Notamacropus eugenii: one gene and its partner. The protein of the gene in region 1 interacts with the protein of each later gene in a biochemical or structural test. Links are inferred from orthologs where the notes say so. Each region holds a gene or a part of one and is shown on either strand. Other genes may lie near its edges.

Region 1 (8,053 bases):
CTCCCATGAAACACTTTTCCCATGAAGGAAAAACTCTTTTTCCTCGAATCCCTTCTTCATTGGATGGTCAGGATATTCTTTCTTATGCCTATATCACTCCTTTACCAGAAACAAAACAAAACAAAAAACTCATGACTTGTATAAAAGGTCAAACTCTACCTGGAATCTGTCTACAACTGGAGGCCATCCTAATTTCCCAGCAATAACTCCTACTGCTCCCTTCCATGAATGTTAGACTCCAGCCACACCTGATTACTCTGTCCCTCCAACATCGACAGCATTCTGATGCCTTAGCTCAGCCCTCTCTCCCTTGCCTGGAATGCCCTCTCTCCCTGTCTTTGCCACTCCATTGCTACCTCTTCTTTAAAGACCCACTCAAACCTCACCTCTTCCAGGAAGCTCTTTCTTGACTGCCCTCTGGTAATGAAATGACCCTCCTCCACAAACCTCTTATAGCTTTGTTTGATTAACTCTCACATGCACTTGACATAGTATCTCTGAGGTGTTTAGACTTTACAAAGATACGATTGCTCATTGAGATCTGGAAACATGTGCTCTAAACTTTGTATCTGTCCTATCACAATGCTCTGCAGAACAGTTACTTTGTAAATGTTAACAATTATGGCGTATTGATGCATGGAATTTTTTTATACTATTTAGAATGGACTTTCTTTACAAAGTTATTTTTCAAAGGCAGACTCTGGGGAAATAGGTGTTTTTCAGGCATAACTACTCCCTTGCTTGCTCCAGTTTTGACACTTAGTAGCTCCTCCTATATAAAATGGGTATATACAATAGATGCTTACACAAATTATCCCAAAGGATTATTGTGGAGAAAGTACATTGTAAACCTTAAAGTGTGATTTAAATGTGAGTTATGAATTGTTTTGACATACCCACAATCACAGTTCAGCCTTTCATTATTCAACCTGGGCTACTGTAAATCTTCCTAACTAGTCTCCTTGCCTTAGGATTCTTTCCCATTCCAAACAATCCTTTATACAGCTGTGGTTCTGACGATGTTACTCATCTCCTCAAAAACCTTCCATGCATCCCTATTACCTGTACAACCGAAAACAAACGAGCCTAATATTTAAAATCCCCTATTCTGGAAAGCTAATCTGTTTTCCAGTCCTGTTTGATATTACCACTTTTACACATTAGTTATTCCAGTCACTTTGAACAATCAGCTCCACAATTTCCCCTTATTCTCTTCTGTTCCCATGCATTCACCACCTCACTCCTGGAACACATTGCCTCAACTGTGGTAGTTGAAACACTCTCAGGGTTTCAGTGGATGGAATAATGGGCCTGAAGTCAACAAGATCCAAGTTCAAACTAGCCTCAGACACATACTAGCTCTGTGTCTCTGAGTAAGTTATTAAGCTTCTGTTTGCCCCAGTTTCCTAAACTCTAAAATAGGGATAACAACATCTACCTGACAGGGTTGTTGTGAGGATCAAATGAGATTAATATACAAATCAAATTTGTAAAGCACCTATGTGCCAGGTGCTATATAAATCCTTATTGTCTTCCCCTTCCCTGAGATCTACCCACTCTCATCTGAAAGGGATCTCTGCCCTAGGTCATTCTTTTGCTTTTATTAAATTCTCCATTGTATCATATTTCTTTGACTTGTCTTTTATGCCTTATATTTGATTTTGACTTTGCATTGTGTCTTACATATCTGTTGTTGTTTAGTCATTTTCAGTTGTGTCCATCTTTGTGATGCCATTTGATTTGTTTGTTTTTGGCAAAGATACTGGAGTAGTTTGCCATTTCCTTCTCCAGCGCATTTTACAGATGAGGAAACTGAGGCAAACAGGGTTAAATGACTTACCCTGGGTTACACAGCTGGTAAGTGTCTGAGGCCCGATTTGAACTCAGAAAGATGAGTCTTCCTTACTCCATCCACTGTGCCATCTAGCTTAAGTCTTGCACTTAGTAGGTACTTGATTAATGTCCACCTTATTGAACTGCTTTACTCAAAAGAAATATTTCCCATATTAAGTTCTGGAATGTTAGCTAACAGTGAAGTAGAAATAAGTGGCTTATAAGTAATGTTTTGTATTTTTTTTTAACATTTCTCTGTTTTGTATTTCCATTTCTAGTCTTCAGAATGAAGAAGTTGTTCATAGGTCCATCACTATGTAGAAAAAAATCATTTATAGACTATTTTCCCCTTTCCATTCCATTTGGGATGTTATTCCCAGATGGAGAGGTTGGTGTTGGTTAGGCAGTTTGGTATTTTTGCATAATACAGGCAAAAAGACTTGATGTATCTGATGATTTGAGGAGGAGAGATTATTCCAAGAGCTTATGTCTTGTGAAGAAGGAAGTATCAGGTATATTATTCAAATGAGCATCCCACTTTATAATTTTTTAATGAGTATGATCCTCTATCTTTGGGGGTAGGTGTTTCTGTAGGAAATAATGATCATTTGAAAAAGTCCAAACGATGAATTTCAGCTCTTAATGCTTGTTGGGGGGGGGGGGGGAAGCATCCCCATAAAGCAGCATGGGAACTTAGACTGTCTGCTCCTCTGCCTTATTTAAATATCAGAGAAAACACAGTTTATTAGATTTGTCTGTTACAGCAGCTTCAAAGTTCTATCTGTTTCTAAGCAAAAGAAAAAAATAAAACAAACAATGAAACTGGCCTGCTATCGGGATTCTATTCACAGACACCTGGGAGAGAAGAACCCTGGGAGGTTTTTAGGAAAATCTGAATTCCTGACTTTCCAGGAACTAGACTATAAACGGTGCACAGGACTGGGAAGAATGAAGATGGGGCAATCTCCTTCCTACTCTCCTCCACAGTTTCCCTCTCTCTAAATACAATTATTTATGGGCACTTAATGGGAGAGCAAGCCTTGTGTGAAAAGAACACAAGTAAGTGTAGCTTCTAAAAATACACAGAGCAGCTTTTAAGCCCTTATTGTTGCAAACTGACATTTTGCAGGGCATGGCATAAACCTAACAAGTCAGATTCTTGCAAAAAAAAAAAAAGCCCAGAAAAGTAGACTTTTTTTTTCCTTCCTAAATCTCCTTAGCCTAAAAGTAAATAGTAATGACACTCCGTAGTCACACTCAATGCAAATTTCCCAAAGGGGGAAAAAACATGAAAATCAAAACAAAAAGCCAGCTCGTTTCCTCAAGTGGTTACGGGGCTTATTTGAGCGTTAAAAGCTGGCTTTTTCTCAGGCCCATCCTTTCCATCCGGAGCTTGCTCCCTAGCACCCTTCCTCGCCTGATTCCTGTCCTTGAAATATTGATCACTCTTTCCCTCTTGGTTTCCTTGCAAAACGGGACGCAGGCTCCCCTGTCCTTCTCACTTGGTTGAAGTGTACAGCAGTTGACAGCTAGGCATGTGGTGTATAAATATTGAAATAAATGAGCCGAAGGGGTGGGGGTGGGGGGACGGCCGGACGGACGAGCTGGACCCTCCCTCCACCACGTGCTCTCGGCAGGGTGCTGCTCTCCAGGATTGAGCTGCGAGTGGGGGTACAAGGCGAAGGGGGCAGAGGGCACAGGAAGAAGGGCCCAGGCAGTGGAGACTAACCCTAAGGGAAGCAAGAGGAGAAAGGGGAAGAAACGAGGAGCCCCCAGCCCCACCAAAGCCGGGAGATAAGCTCCATCTCCAGAGGCTGGGATGGGAGAGGAGTGTCTGCCTGTGTCTCTCACCTGATTTCCTTTTTCTCAAGCACACACACACACACACACACACACACACACACAGAGGCACGCGCACACACACGCACACATACACACAGAGTCAGCCCCCCCAAAAAAACAAGAGGAAGTCACAGCAGGGAACTAGGGCTGGGGGTCGGGGCGCTGGGAGGAGGATCAGACAGACACCGAGACGCTCCCTCACTTACCCCTCCACGCCTAGGGTGCAGGTTTCGCCTCAAACCTGCGGGCAGATCGCCCTCTGCCCCCCACGCCCTCTCTTTACCCTCTCCCTGCTCTCTCCTCATCTCCGGCTCCCCCCTCCCTGCTCGCCTGCCCCCTCCTCCTTTGACTCCCCTCCCCTCCCCTCCCCTCCGGCTCAGCCCGGGCTCGCAGCCTCCAGCAAACCTAGCCACGGAGGAGCGGAGCCGGGCGGTGGCGGCCGAGGCTCGGCCGGGCGGGCTGGAGGGCTCCGCACCGTAGACCCCGGGCGGGCGGCCGCAGAGTCTCCGCCAGGGGGAGAAGGAGGGAAGGGAGAGGAGGAGAGAGCGAAGGAGGGAGGGACCGAGACCTCGGCCCCGGGCGATCCAGACCCCGGCGCCCCAGACGCGCACCGAGCCGGCGGAGGTGGGGGCCGAGGCGGGGAGCAGTGGCGGCCAAGGCGCGGGCGGAGGAGGCAGAGGCAGCGGCGGCGGCGGCGGCCGCGCTGCCCGGCCCGCTCCCGCCTCCTCACCCCAGCCCGGGGGGCGGCCGGCATCCAAGGAGCCCTGGGACTGAATGCCCGGCGGCAGCCCCCAGGGCCGGCTCGCGGCGGGCTCTCCAGCTGGGGCTGCCCGCCGCTCCTCCGCGGACCCGGCCGGCTTGGAGCGCGGCCGGCGGCCGCAACTGCGGAGCGAAGCCGAGCCGAGAAGAGGCGAGCGGAGCGGAGCCGAGCGGAGCGGAGCCGAGCCCCGGTCCCCGCCTGCGCCCCCCGCCCCCGCCCCCGCCCCCTCCTCCTCTCCTGTCCCCCCCTCCGCTCCTTCCCCTCCCACTCAGGCCCTGCCTCCTCCCCTGCCCCCCCCGCACACATACACACACATACACACACACATACACACACACGCATACACACATTACCCTTGCTCTTCCCTCCCTCCCCCCCTCCTTTCTCCCTTGCTCGCTCGCTCGCTCGCTTCTTGTCTTTCTCTCCCCTTTGAACGCCCACTTCTGATGGGGGAAGAAGACAACTTGAAGTCAAGTTGCAATTAACTTCCGCGGCAGCCGCAGCCACGGGGGCAGCAGCAGCAGCGGCGGCAGCAGCAGCAGGAGCGGCAGCAGCAGCGGGAGCCGCCACCGCCTCCGCCGAGACACCCGGGAAGCCTCCGGGGCTGCTGCCCCGCACTCGTCCGCCCGCCCGCCGCCCGCCAGCCCTCCCGCAGCCGCCGCGGCCGCCGCAGCTCCCATGCCTGAGTGAGTTGGCTCTCGTTTGTTTACTCCTTCCCTGGGCCGTGTGCGGTGTATGTGTGTGAGGAGGTCTTTACAAACTTCTGCTTCGCAGCCCCCCAGGCGGGCGCCCCCCGTGCTCGGGCTGGCCCCTTGGGGCTTCCTCCCTCCCCTGCCCTCGGGCCGGGAGCGTTCTTCACCCCCCGCGCCTCCTGGTTCGGGCCCCGAGCCCCCCACCCCAGCATGGGCCGGAGGGCAGGTGAAGGAGGCCAGGAGGACTGATTGGGGAATGCCATTCATTCCCTCTCGGGGTGTGGGGATGGAGTGTGATAGTCAGTCCTCCCGACCACAGCAATCACACACACACACACACACACACACACACACACACACACACACATACACGCGCGCGCGCCCGAGCACACACACACACACACACACACACACACACACACACACACACACACACACACACACACACACACACACCTGCTTGGTACCCGAGGTAGACATAGGTATTTGAGGGGGGAAGGTCCCCTCGTGGAAGTGGAGAAGAGCCAGAGAGAAAGACTGGAGTGCGGGGTGGGGGGTGTCGGTAGAAATTCGAGGTGCCAGCTAGGCACTGCCCGGGAGCATCCCGGCCCAGCCCAGCCTGGCCCGGCCGGGAGAGCGGCGCCGGTGGATTGGCCTGAGAAGTTTGTGGCAACTTCTCCATCTCCCGAGCCCGAGCCGAAGCCGCCGCCTCCGCCGCCGCAGAGCCGCGAAGTTGCTCGCAAGTTGTTTCTAAGGAGTTGCGGCCGCACGGCAGTGGCCGTGACCGTGGCCGTGGCTGGGCTGGGCTGGGAAGGGATCACGGAAGGTAGGGAAGGAAGGTGTGCGTGAAGATAGAGGAGGGGATCCGAGGGACAGCACGCCTCGCTTCCTGGTCTTTTACCACCCGGTCGGGCCGCGGTCCTGACGGGTTCGGTAGTGTGGGCATCCGTGCCTTCTCCTTGCCCTCGGGACACCAGGACCACCTTAGGCACCGGCTTCCCCTCTAGCATGGCCTGAGACGTAGTGGCGGAGCATCTTGGACCCTCGGCACGACCTGATGTTGGGCAGCTAAATCTGAGGGTTTAGCAGAGGAGAGAGAGTGAGCTGCAGGGACAGTAGCAGGTCGGGGAGATTGGGGAGTGGGGACTGAGGTTTCTGGGCGCAGGAGCAGGGGGCAGGGGGGCGGGGAGAGGGTCAGACTGACCAGAGAAGGGGGAGGGCAAGGAAGAGCCTTCACCACTGAGCCACAGCTGCCTGTGGCCTGGACCCATCTTAACCTGGGCATTGAGAGTTAAACTTACAAGTATGAACCACAGAGTCGCATCACTAAATGCCGGAGGTTGAGACTTTGACCCTTGCGACCTTCCTCGGCTAACTTTCTGCAGCGTTCCAAAGGGGTTTCCAGGGAAATGATCTGTGACTGAGACTCCAAAATGATTATAAGAGAAGGGGGAGCAGAAGGGAGGGTTGGGAAGACCTTGTAAGAGTAGAGAGATGGTCTGCCCCAATTGCCCTGGGTTCCATATATACGTCTTTGGAGGCCAGCAGGGATGGGGAAGAAGAGAGGAGAGAGAGAGGAGTTGGTGAAATATGACCAAAGGTTTAAGTTTTATCCTCGGCAGCACCTGAAACCTAAAGTACTTCTGTTGCAGAGGAAGCTATCCCACTGAAAACTTTACTGAATTATTACGTTGCCCCTTTAAACTGAACTAAGTAAAAGATGGCCGAAGCAAATGTCAGATATATTCTCTCCAATCAAGGGCAATTCTTATTATGCAAAGGATGCGTAATTCTAAATTCTAGGATGTTAAGGTTCAAGTATAAGATCTAATAACAGCTCTTTCTTCTGTTCCATATTACCAGTGATATGATTTAGCTACAGTCCTTTCTTCTGTATATTATTTGAGTAGTACAGTAGTACATTCATATACTGTTTGCTTCAATCTGCTGGCAAGCATTAGCATTCAGGCTTACATTTTTGACAAATGTGCAGACAGGAATAACATGAATAGGCATCTTAAATATTAACAACCTAAGCATCTGTTATGAAACAAATTTAATATATTTACTCTGTTTTTCTCACATTGTTAGGAAAGGTTATAATAAGTGCATAATTTCAACTTTAGTTAGCAGAAGTAGCTGGTTGTATCTTTCACTACCTCTGCAAGGGTTTAACACAATCACTAGACATAAATACTTTAATTAACTTGGTTAGGCACATCATTAAATAAACTTTCAGTAATGTGCCCATCACATACAGACATAGCTGTGGTAAAATATGTATCTTATAGGCAAATGTTTTTTAATGCCTATACATTTTTGTAAATACAGAATGTACATTTATTCCTCATTTCAGTTTGACACTTATTACTTCACATTTTTTCTAATGGAAACAATATTTTAAGCACAGAGTTGTGCAGTCACATGTAATATATAATAAGTAAACAGTAGCTATAAAAAAGAAGAAAGCATTGTTATGTTTGACTACAGCTAGAATCAGGAGAAATAAAATCACTGTTAGGATTTGTGTTCCTTCCCGAATCCTGAATACAAGTGATGGATGAAAAAGAAACCAGGGAATGAAGGGTTTTCCCCTAAAGTAGTGGCTTGAAAAGAAAGAAAGATGGAAGAGAGATAGAAAAGCAAAGACCTTCCAAAAGCCTTTATGTTTTTTTTTTTTCTGGAATCAGTGCATTCCTTATACTTTCCCCATTAACCAAGATATGTAATAATAGTTTCTTGTTTTTTTTTAAAAAAGATTATGGAGACAAAAAGCATTCAAAAATAATGCCTTTTGTTCAGTTGTTTTAATAAATTAACCCCTTCTTTATATTTGTTTTACTGATGATCATTGTAAAATGAAGTCATTAGCTCCTTGGTTTAACCAGTTTTAATCCTGTAGTCTTTCGAGTGGCATATATCTGTC
Region 2 (7,074 bases), on another chromosome or scaffold:
ACATCCATTTCCAGTGTTATTTTATATTACTCTCCCTCCCACTAGTCTCCCAGTTGTTCCTGTAAACAACATTCCATCTGTCTCCCCCATGCCTTTTCTACATACAAGTGGTCCCTCATGTCTGGAATGTACTCCTTATACCTCTTAGAATCCCTAGATTCCTTCTGAACTCAGGTGTCATTTTCTACATGAAGTCTTTCCTGATTCCCTGCAACTAATACTCTATCCCTGTTAAAATTACTTTGTATTTATTTGTCCCTGAACAGATTGTATACTCCATCCCAGAATGTAATCTCCCTGATGAGAGGAACTTTTCCCTCCTTAGCATTCCCAACATCAAGAGAAAGAAAGACAGAAAGACAGAGAGAGAGAGAGAATATATAAAGCACTTACAATGTGCCAGGCCTAGTGCTAATTATTGGGGACACAAAAGCAAGCATGTAAGACAAGCCCCTGCCCTCATATTGTAGGGGAACATAACATAAAAGTGGGAGTTGGAAAGGGGAGGGTGTTAAGGATGATGGTAGGAGTGCATTGGTTTCTATTAAATTTGGGTGGAACTGAATTGAATTATTCAAACGATTTAAAATCCTCCAATGGGTCATCTATATTTTTTTATATTCTGAAAAATTTAGATTATGAGTTTTAGTAGCTCTATTCTGAGCTTGAGTAGTTCTGAATTTCTCAAACACTCTTATCTAAATGAACTCCTAATTTTCACTATGGCACAGAGGTGTTTATAAATTTTTACAGAGACTTTTCATAATTTTACCTCAAGAACAAAAATATCCTAGAGGTATTTTTGCTTTTGTACTCTGTCAAGAGTCCATTCCACTATCAGATCCCTCCACGAAATCGACCTCATAAATACCTCTGACATCAGGTAGAATTTCTGAGGTCTGCAGACCACGGCTGTTACTTGTACTTATTTTGTGTCTTTAAAAAGTGCAGAACTTGCATACACCTCCACACGTCACCCTATAAGTGGGTCACCCTATTGCTGTGGGTGTAGGGGTTATCTAATATTGTTCAGATCGACCTCCTTCCTATTGGCTCTATATCTAAGGGAATGACATCATGGAGAGAGAAGCTCCAAGGGTATACATTGATTCAATTCAATTCCATTGTTGGAGTGCGAAGCCAACTATGAGGTCAGGCCTTCAGAAGAATCGTGCATTAGCTGTGTTTGGAGATTCACTGTGAATGAACAGGGACATAATTCAATATGCCAAGAGTAAGGAGACCTTGCACCTGGCAGTGCAGGTGACATGTCTTTCTGCTATGTTGGGATTTCAGGGATAGCAAGGAAAGACCCAGGCTTACTTTTCCTTATCAATCAATTAACATGTCCAATATTGTTTTAACTTGGAATAAAGCTTTCCATTCCATAATAGAAATAAGGCCTAAAATGCCAGACTGCTGAGAAGATACCATTGTGCTTATACTCTTGTATAGTAATGTGTCAATGACTATCTCTGCAACTATTAATGCTATCTTCTTGTTAAACTAACTTTTATGTAACTTTATGTAACTATGTAACTTATGTAACTTTTATGTAACTTTATCCATATGTTTGTTATATTCCCGCCCTCCCCCAAGTAGAACATAAACTTCTGCTTATAGGAATTATTTTGTATCTCTGCATCTTTGGAGGACCATCTCTTCCACAGCTTCCTGGATCACCACTTCTTGCCCACTCCAGACAGGCCCTTGAATGAAGGAGTTCAAAACCTGGGATCCATGCATAGATTTTAGGGAGGGTTTATGGGGAAAATACACATTTATTTTCACTAACTTTTAAGTGAAAGTTAGCATTTCCTCTAATTACTAATGGGCAGCTAGGTGGTGAAGTGGATAGGACAATGGGCTTGGAATCAAGAAAGCTCATCTTTATGAGTTCATATCTTGCCTCAGACACTAGCTGTGTGACCGTGGGCAAGTCACTTGACTCTGTTTGCCTTAGTTCTTCATCTGTAAAAGCTAAAGAAGGAAATGGTAAACGATTCCAGTACCTTTCCCAAGAGAACTCCAAAATGTGGTCATACGCATTGGATATGACTGAAAAACCAATTGTTAATATAGGCAACAAAACATTATTATAAGACAGGGTGCACATAGGTTTCATAAGATGGCCAAAAGGGTCCATGACACCAAAAATATTAAGAACTCCTGGCCCAGAGGAAATTCTGCCAAGTGATTCCCCCTCTCTCCTATCTAACTAGTGACTATTTTAGGAAAGCCCTAGTTAAGATTCGACTCCATCCTCCCCTTCTAATTCCTAAAGTGTTCTGCTTCCCCAGTAGAATATAAGCTCCTTGAGGGCAGGGAGTAGTTGTTTTTTCTTTGTTTTGTTTTATTTATTCCCAGGATTTAGCACAGGCCTTGGCACATAGTAAGGATCCAATAAAGGCTTTTTCATTCATTTGTTCTTTGTACCCCCATTGTGGAACATAGTGCTTTACATATATTTGATGCCTAATAAGTATTTATTGATTGTTGAATGACATTGGCAAAAAGTTAGCACAGAAAGATTAAGAAAGAGCAGAAGCAGCGTACTGGCAGAAGAGATTTAAGACCAGAGAAAGGGGAAAGGGTAATGTAGGGAAAAACTTTGACTTCACAACAACAAAAAATTCACTTCAGACGTTTTTGTAGAGAAACTTCTCTGGCTTCCTTCTAGCCCTGGCTAAAATCCCAAATTCTACGGGAAGCACTACCTAATCTTCTTTAATCCTAGTGCCTTCCCTCCATTGATTATCTACAATTTGTCCTGTATATGCCTTATTTGTACATAACAGTTTTCCTGTTATCTCCCCAATTAGGCTGTGAGCTCCTTAGGAGCAGGAACTTTTTGTCTTTTTTTGTATTTCCAGCTCTTAGCATGGTGTCTGGTACATATATAAGCCTGATAAATAGAATAGCTTAATAAATCCCATTTCGAGGATTGTGGAGAACAGAAAAGGTGTATAGGTAGAAAAGGATTATCAGACAACACTCCTGTTCCCCTAAAATATCTCTTTGGTATGACTAGACACCTTCCAGAAAAATTGAAATAACAACAGAAAACAGCACAGTGTTGTCAGGTCTTTGGCACTCCATTTGGGGTTTTCTTAGCCAAGATGGTAGAGTGATTTGACCTTTTCTTCTGGAGCTCATTTTACAGATGAGGAAACTGAGGCAAACAGGGTTAAGTGACATAGCTAGAGTTGAAGGCTGGATTTGAACTCCATCCTTCTGACTTCGGGTCTGGTGAGCTAGCCACTGTACCACCCAGCTGGCCCGGAAAGCAGCGTGGCATGATGTGTAATTAAAGGAGAAGTAGGCAGGTGCACAGGCACTAAGTGGAAAACAGCTAATGTAGTCAGAGGCGGTGAGTCTGCAATCTGAAGATCGAATCCCGCTGATACAATGACATGCCCCATCTTTCACCTGCGATCTGACTAGCCCTCCTCACTCGGACATTCGGGATTGTCCAGCCTACAGTCGATTCTACAAGGAGTTTGCCAAGCACCCACTGCCTAGTCGTGCAAAGGCATTAAATGGAAGATAACTGGAGACTCCCACAGAGCTCCTCGGGGCAGCTCTGGACAGAGCAGCGGCCTGGGAGCCCCCCAAAGCGTGGGTTCGAGTCTCGCCTCTGGAGCGTGCTGGCCGTGTGACCCCGGGCGGGACCCCTCCCCTAACAGCGGGAGTGACCCAGAGTGGGGAAGACTCCAACGTGCGCGAAGCCCTCCCCTGCGGACCCCTGAGTGCGGAGGGGTCACTGATGCTCCCTTCTGGACACCATTGTTATTCTAATGGGATTCCTCGGGTGGGGGTGGGGGGACGGGGAGTGGCGCTCAGGACCTACCCTCACCCAGAACTGGCTGATTACCTGGGGGGCGGGGCGGGGCGGAGAGGGGAGGGGGGAGTAACTGTCAAACCAGTCCTCTTGGCGCCATTATTTAAATAGTACGTGCCACACTCCTTGCTGTGCGTCCAGGGGGCAGGGCTCCGAACGCATTGGGAGGGTCCGGGAGGTGGAGGGAAAGAGAAGGGGCAGGAACAAGGGCGGGGCCAAGCGAGGGGAGGGAGCAGGACTAGCCGCGGCCCCCGGCGGGGTTCATTGCGCCTGCGCTGACAGTCGCAAGATGGCGGACAGTGCGGAACTAAAGGTAAAGCGCAGCTCGAATTCACTTCTAATATTCGGCCGCGGAGACGGCGCTGCGTGTGCCGAGGGGGATGGGGCTGAGCCCCGGGGCCCGTCCGTACCCGGCACACCTGAGCCTGGAGTGGGGGAGCGGGGTGGGCTCGGGCCTGGCGGAGGGGGCCGGGCAGCGGCGGGCCGCGGGCCCCGGGCGGCTCGGGGGCGCTGACGGGTCCGGTCCCCGGCGTGTTATTGTTGTGGGCGCCTCGGGCGGGGGTGGCCGGGGAAGGAGGCGGGCAGTCGGAGAGCGGGGGAGCTCGGCCGCGGCGCTGCCGGCCCTCCTCTTCCCTCCCGCTCCCGGGCGGCCGCGGCTCGGGGGCGGCGGGTCCGGCGGGGGTGGGTGCGGGTTTGGGGAAGCTCCCCACCGCTTCCTCTTCCTTCTTGCCAGCCCCGGGCTCCTGTCAGGAGCTCGGCTGCGGCCCCTCTCCCCTCCCCCGGGGAACTTGTCTCCGGCCGCCCCGCCCCTCTCCTCGCCTCCCCCTCGGCCCGGGACGCGGCTCTCCCCGGCCCGCCCGCCGCCGGAGGAGGCGCCTCGCTCGGCCCCCCTCGGATGCGGGGAAGCGCGGCGCGTGGGGGAAAAGGAGATCCTCCAGCAAAGTTTCGCGAGCGTCAGGCCCCGCGCCGCCCGCCCCTTCCCTTCCTCCCTCGGGCCGGGGCGCCCTGCCTGCTGCGGGCGAGCCGCCCGCGAAGGGTGCCTGCCTCCCGGGGGGAGGGGGAGACGGCGACGAGCCCCCCCCCCCCCCTCCTCCTCCCCCCTCCCCGGTCCCACGCGCGGTCGTCAGGGCGAGGTCAGCCTTTGGGGCGTGGGGTCTGCGCGCAGCATGATGGCGAGGCTCTTGAATGGCCGGTGTTTATATCCCCGGTTGCCTTTTGTTTGTTGGGGACATCTCGCTGGCCATGTTGGTTGGAACAAGCTCCTCTCCTCCTCCCCTCGCCAGCCCCCTCGTCAACAGCGCCTCCTCCGCGCTCCCCCTCCCACCTGTGTCAGTCCCTCCAGCTGCGCGCAAGGAAGGCGAGAGCTTGACTTTCCACGTCCCTATCTTCCGATAGAGCTCCCCACTCTTCTCTTCCTTCTGTACCTGCTGGGCATTTCTGCCCGGGAGCGAGTGTGGTGCTGCAGGAGGGGTGGGAGGGGGCAGGTGGGTAGGGGGTGAGTAACCGCTCGGGCTTGGCTTTGGAGGTGTGCGGCTCTGCTTGAATGGTTGTGTTTCAGCAGCTAGCCGTTCTTAAGTTACGGATCTGTCTTCTGAGGCGTCGAACCGGATCTTCCTTTTCATAGGCGGCTTTGCAAACCAAGGAGCCGGCACTGTCCTGGCTCGGGGAGGGGACTCTCCGTCAGAAAGTTAATATTGGAATGTATAACGGTAAAATCTTTGGTGGAACCCATCTTTAGAATAATTGATAGGGTGAATTCCAGTCTGAGGTGAGAGACTTAGGTTTTTCCTATAAAATTAATCTTGAAAAAGTCAAATTCTGCATTTGGGTGTTTTTTCCCCTGAGCAAATCCTTGCCAGAAAATAATGCCCTCCCCCTCCCCAAATTACTCGTCAGTATAAAACTTCCTCGTATATATTGAGACACTAGCTTTGAGTTGTCATTACATCCTTGTTTATCTCTGAACTTACATTGATTTGAAAATAACTGAGTTAGAAAATGCTTTATACTTTAAAACTTGGGGGAATTTGTATAATGGGAACATCGGAAAAGACTAATCAGGAAGTCTTAGGAATTTGAACATTTGGAGAACTTTTAACTGTAAAAAATATACTTGAGAACAAATTCTCAGACATTTTTCTATAGGTTTATATACTTGAAAATACAGTCAGTAGGTTGCTGTGATCTTTGCCTTCTATTCCTCATTTGGAAACCCTTTTGAATGTTGGCTAGTGAGTTCTTTTATACACGGATCACCGAATAAAGCAGGAAAGCTTGTGCTCTCTAGATTGTCACCCTTGATGCTGTCCTAAGAAGCTAGTATGGAAAGCACATGCTGGGGAGGTTTCCTTCTTTGTTCTTTCCCATTTTAAGAAAATGCCTTTGGGGATACAGCAGATCCCTGGTGTGATTCCTGTTAGGTGAAATCTCTATTTACAAAAATTAATCAGTATTATTAGATTGAAGCTAAATACCTGAAAAGGAACTGTCATTTACACACTAAAAGCAAGGTATAAAATCTCTCCGCAGTTCCAGATAGAAATTTCAGATTAATTTTGTGCCAAGGAATTGTTGGTGCCATGATGCCTCCATTGTTTAATTTTAAGGAATTGTTAGGATAAACTCCATGTCATTGTGAAATATACAGGAGCCTTAAAAGTTGTAAATGCTTAAGTGAGGTAAATCACACAGACAAATCATATTAATATTTGATGATAGTTTAATTTGTCGACATTTTGGGGACTATCCAACTGTGGTGTTCCTTTCAGTGAAAGATTTCTGTGAATTGAAATTTAAACTACTTCCGGAAGAAATCTTGATTTCTTTTTAATGCTTGAGTTTGAAGAAAATATTTTCTGGTATTCTATTTTTTGAGAAAGTACAATTAAACTTATGACTTTCTATGATAAGTCAAGGGACTTTATTGGAATTCTGGACAAAACTACTTTATTAACAGAGTTCAAATTCTGAGGAGGTTTTGAGCCCAGTTCCATAGCTCACAAACCCACAGTAGATTTTGCTGTTGACTGTAGTCACTGGTTATTTTTCCACCTCTTTTTAGTGACCCCTTTTAACTTATAATGGACTTAAAAGATCAAATGGTTAAACCAGAGCGACCTACATCACCATCAATATTGGTATAATACAGGCTACAACAGTTCAGGATATTGCCAATAAAAATTAGATTACAGTACCACACATCATAATGAATCTTGTATTCACATTTGTTAATA

Evidence for each region.
Region 2: the proteins of SATB1 (region 1) and PIAS1 form a complex in vitro, tested with the Homo sapiens proteins (2 studies listed by BioGRID, with this or other methods). The link is inferred for Notamacropus eugenii from reciprocal best matches to the Homo sapiens genes SATB1 and PIAS1.

What each region holds. Positions count from the first base shown.
Region 1 is NC_092874.1:35,635,294-35,643,346, forward strand, and holds the start of SATB1 (DNA-binding protein SATB1), read left to right. Parts: upstream 1-5,003; 5' UTR 5,004-5,121; intron 5,122-8,053. UniProt on the Homo sapiens protein: Crucial silencing factor contributing to the initiation of X inactivation mediated by Xist RNA that occurs during embryogenesis and in lymphoma.
Region 2 is NC_092872.1:131,061,190-131,068,263, forward strand, and holds the start of PIAS1 (E3 SUMO-protein ligase PIAS1), read left to right. Parts: upstream 1-4,047; 5' UTR 4,048-4,130; coding exon 4,131-4,154; intron 4,155-7,074. UniProt on the Homo sapiens protein: Functions as an E3-type small ubiquitin-like modifier (SUMO) ligase, stabilizing the interaction between UBE2I and the substrate, and as a SUMO-tethering factor. Catalyzes sumoylation of various proteins, such as CEBPB, MRE11, MTA1, PTK2 and PML.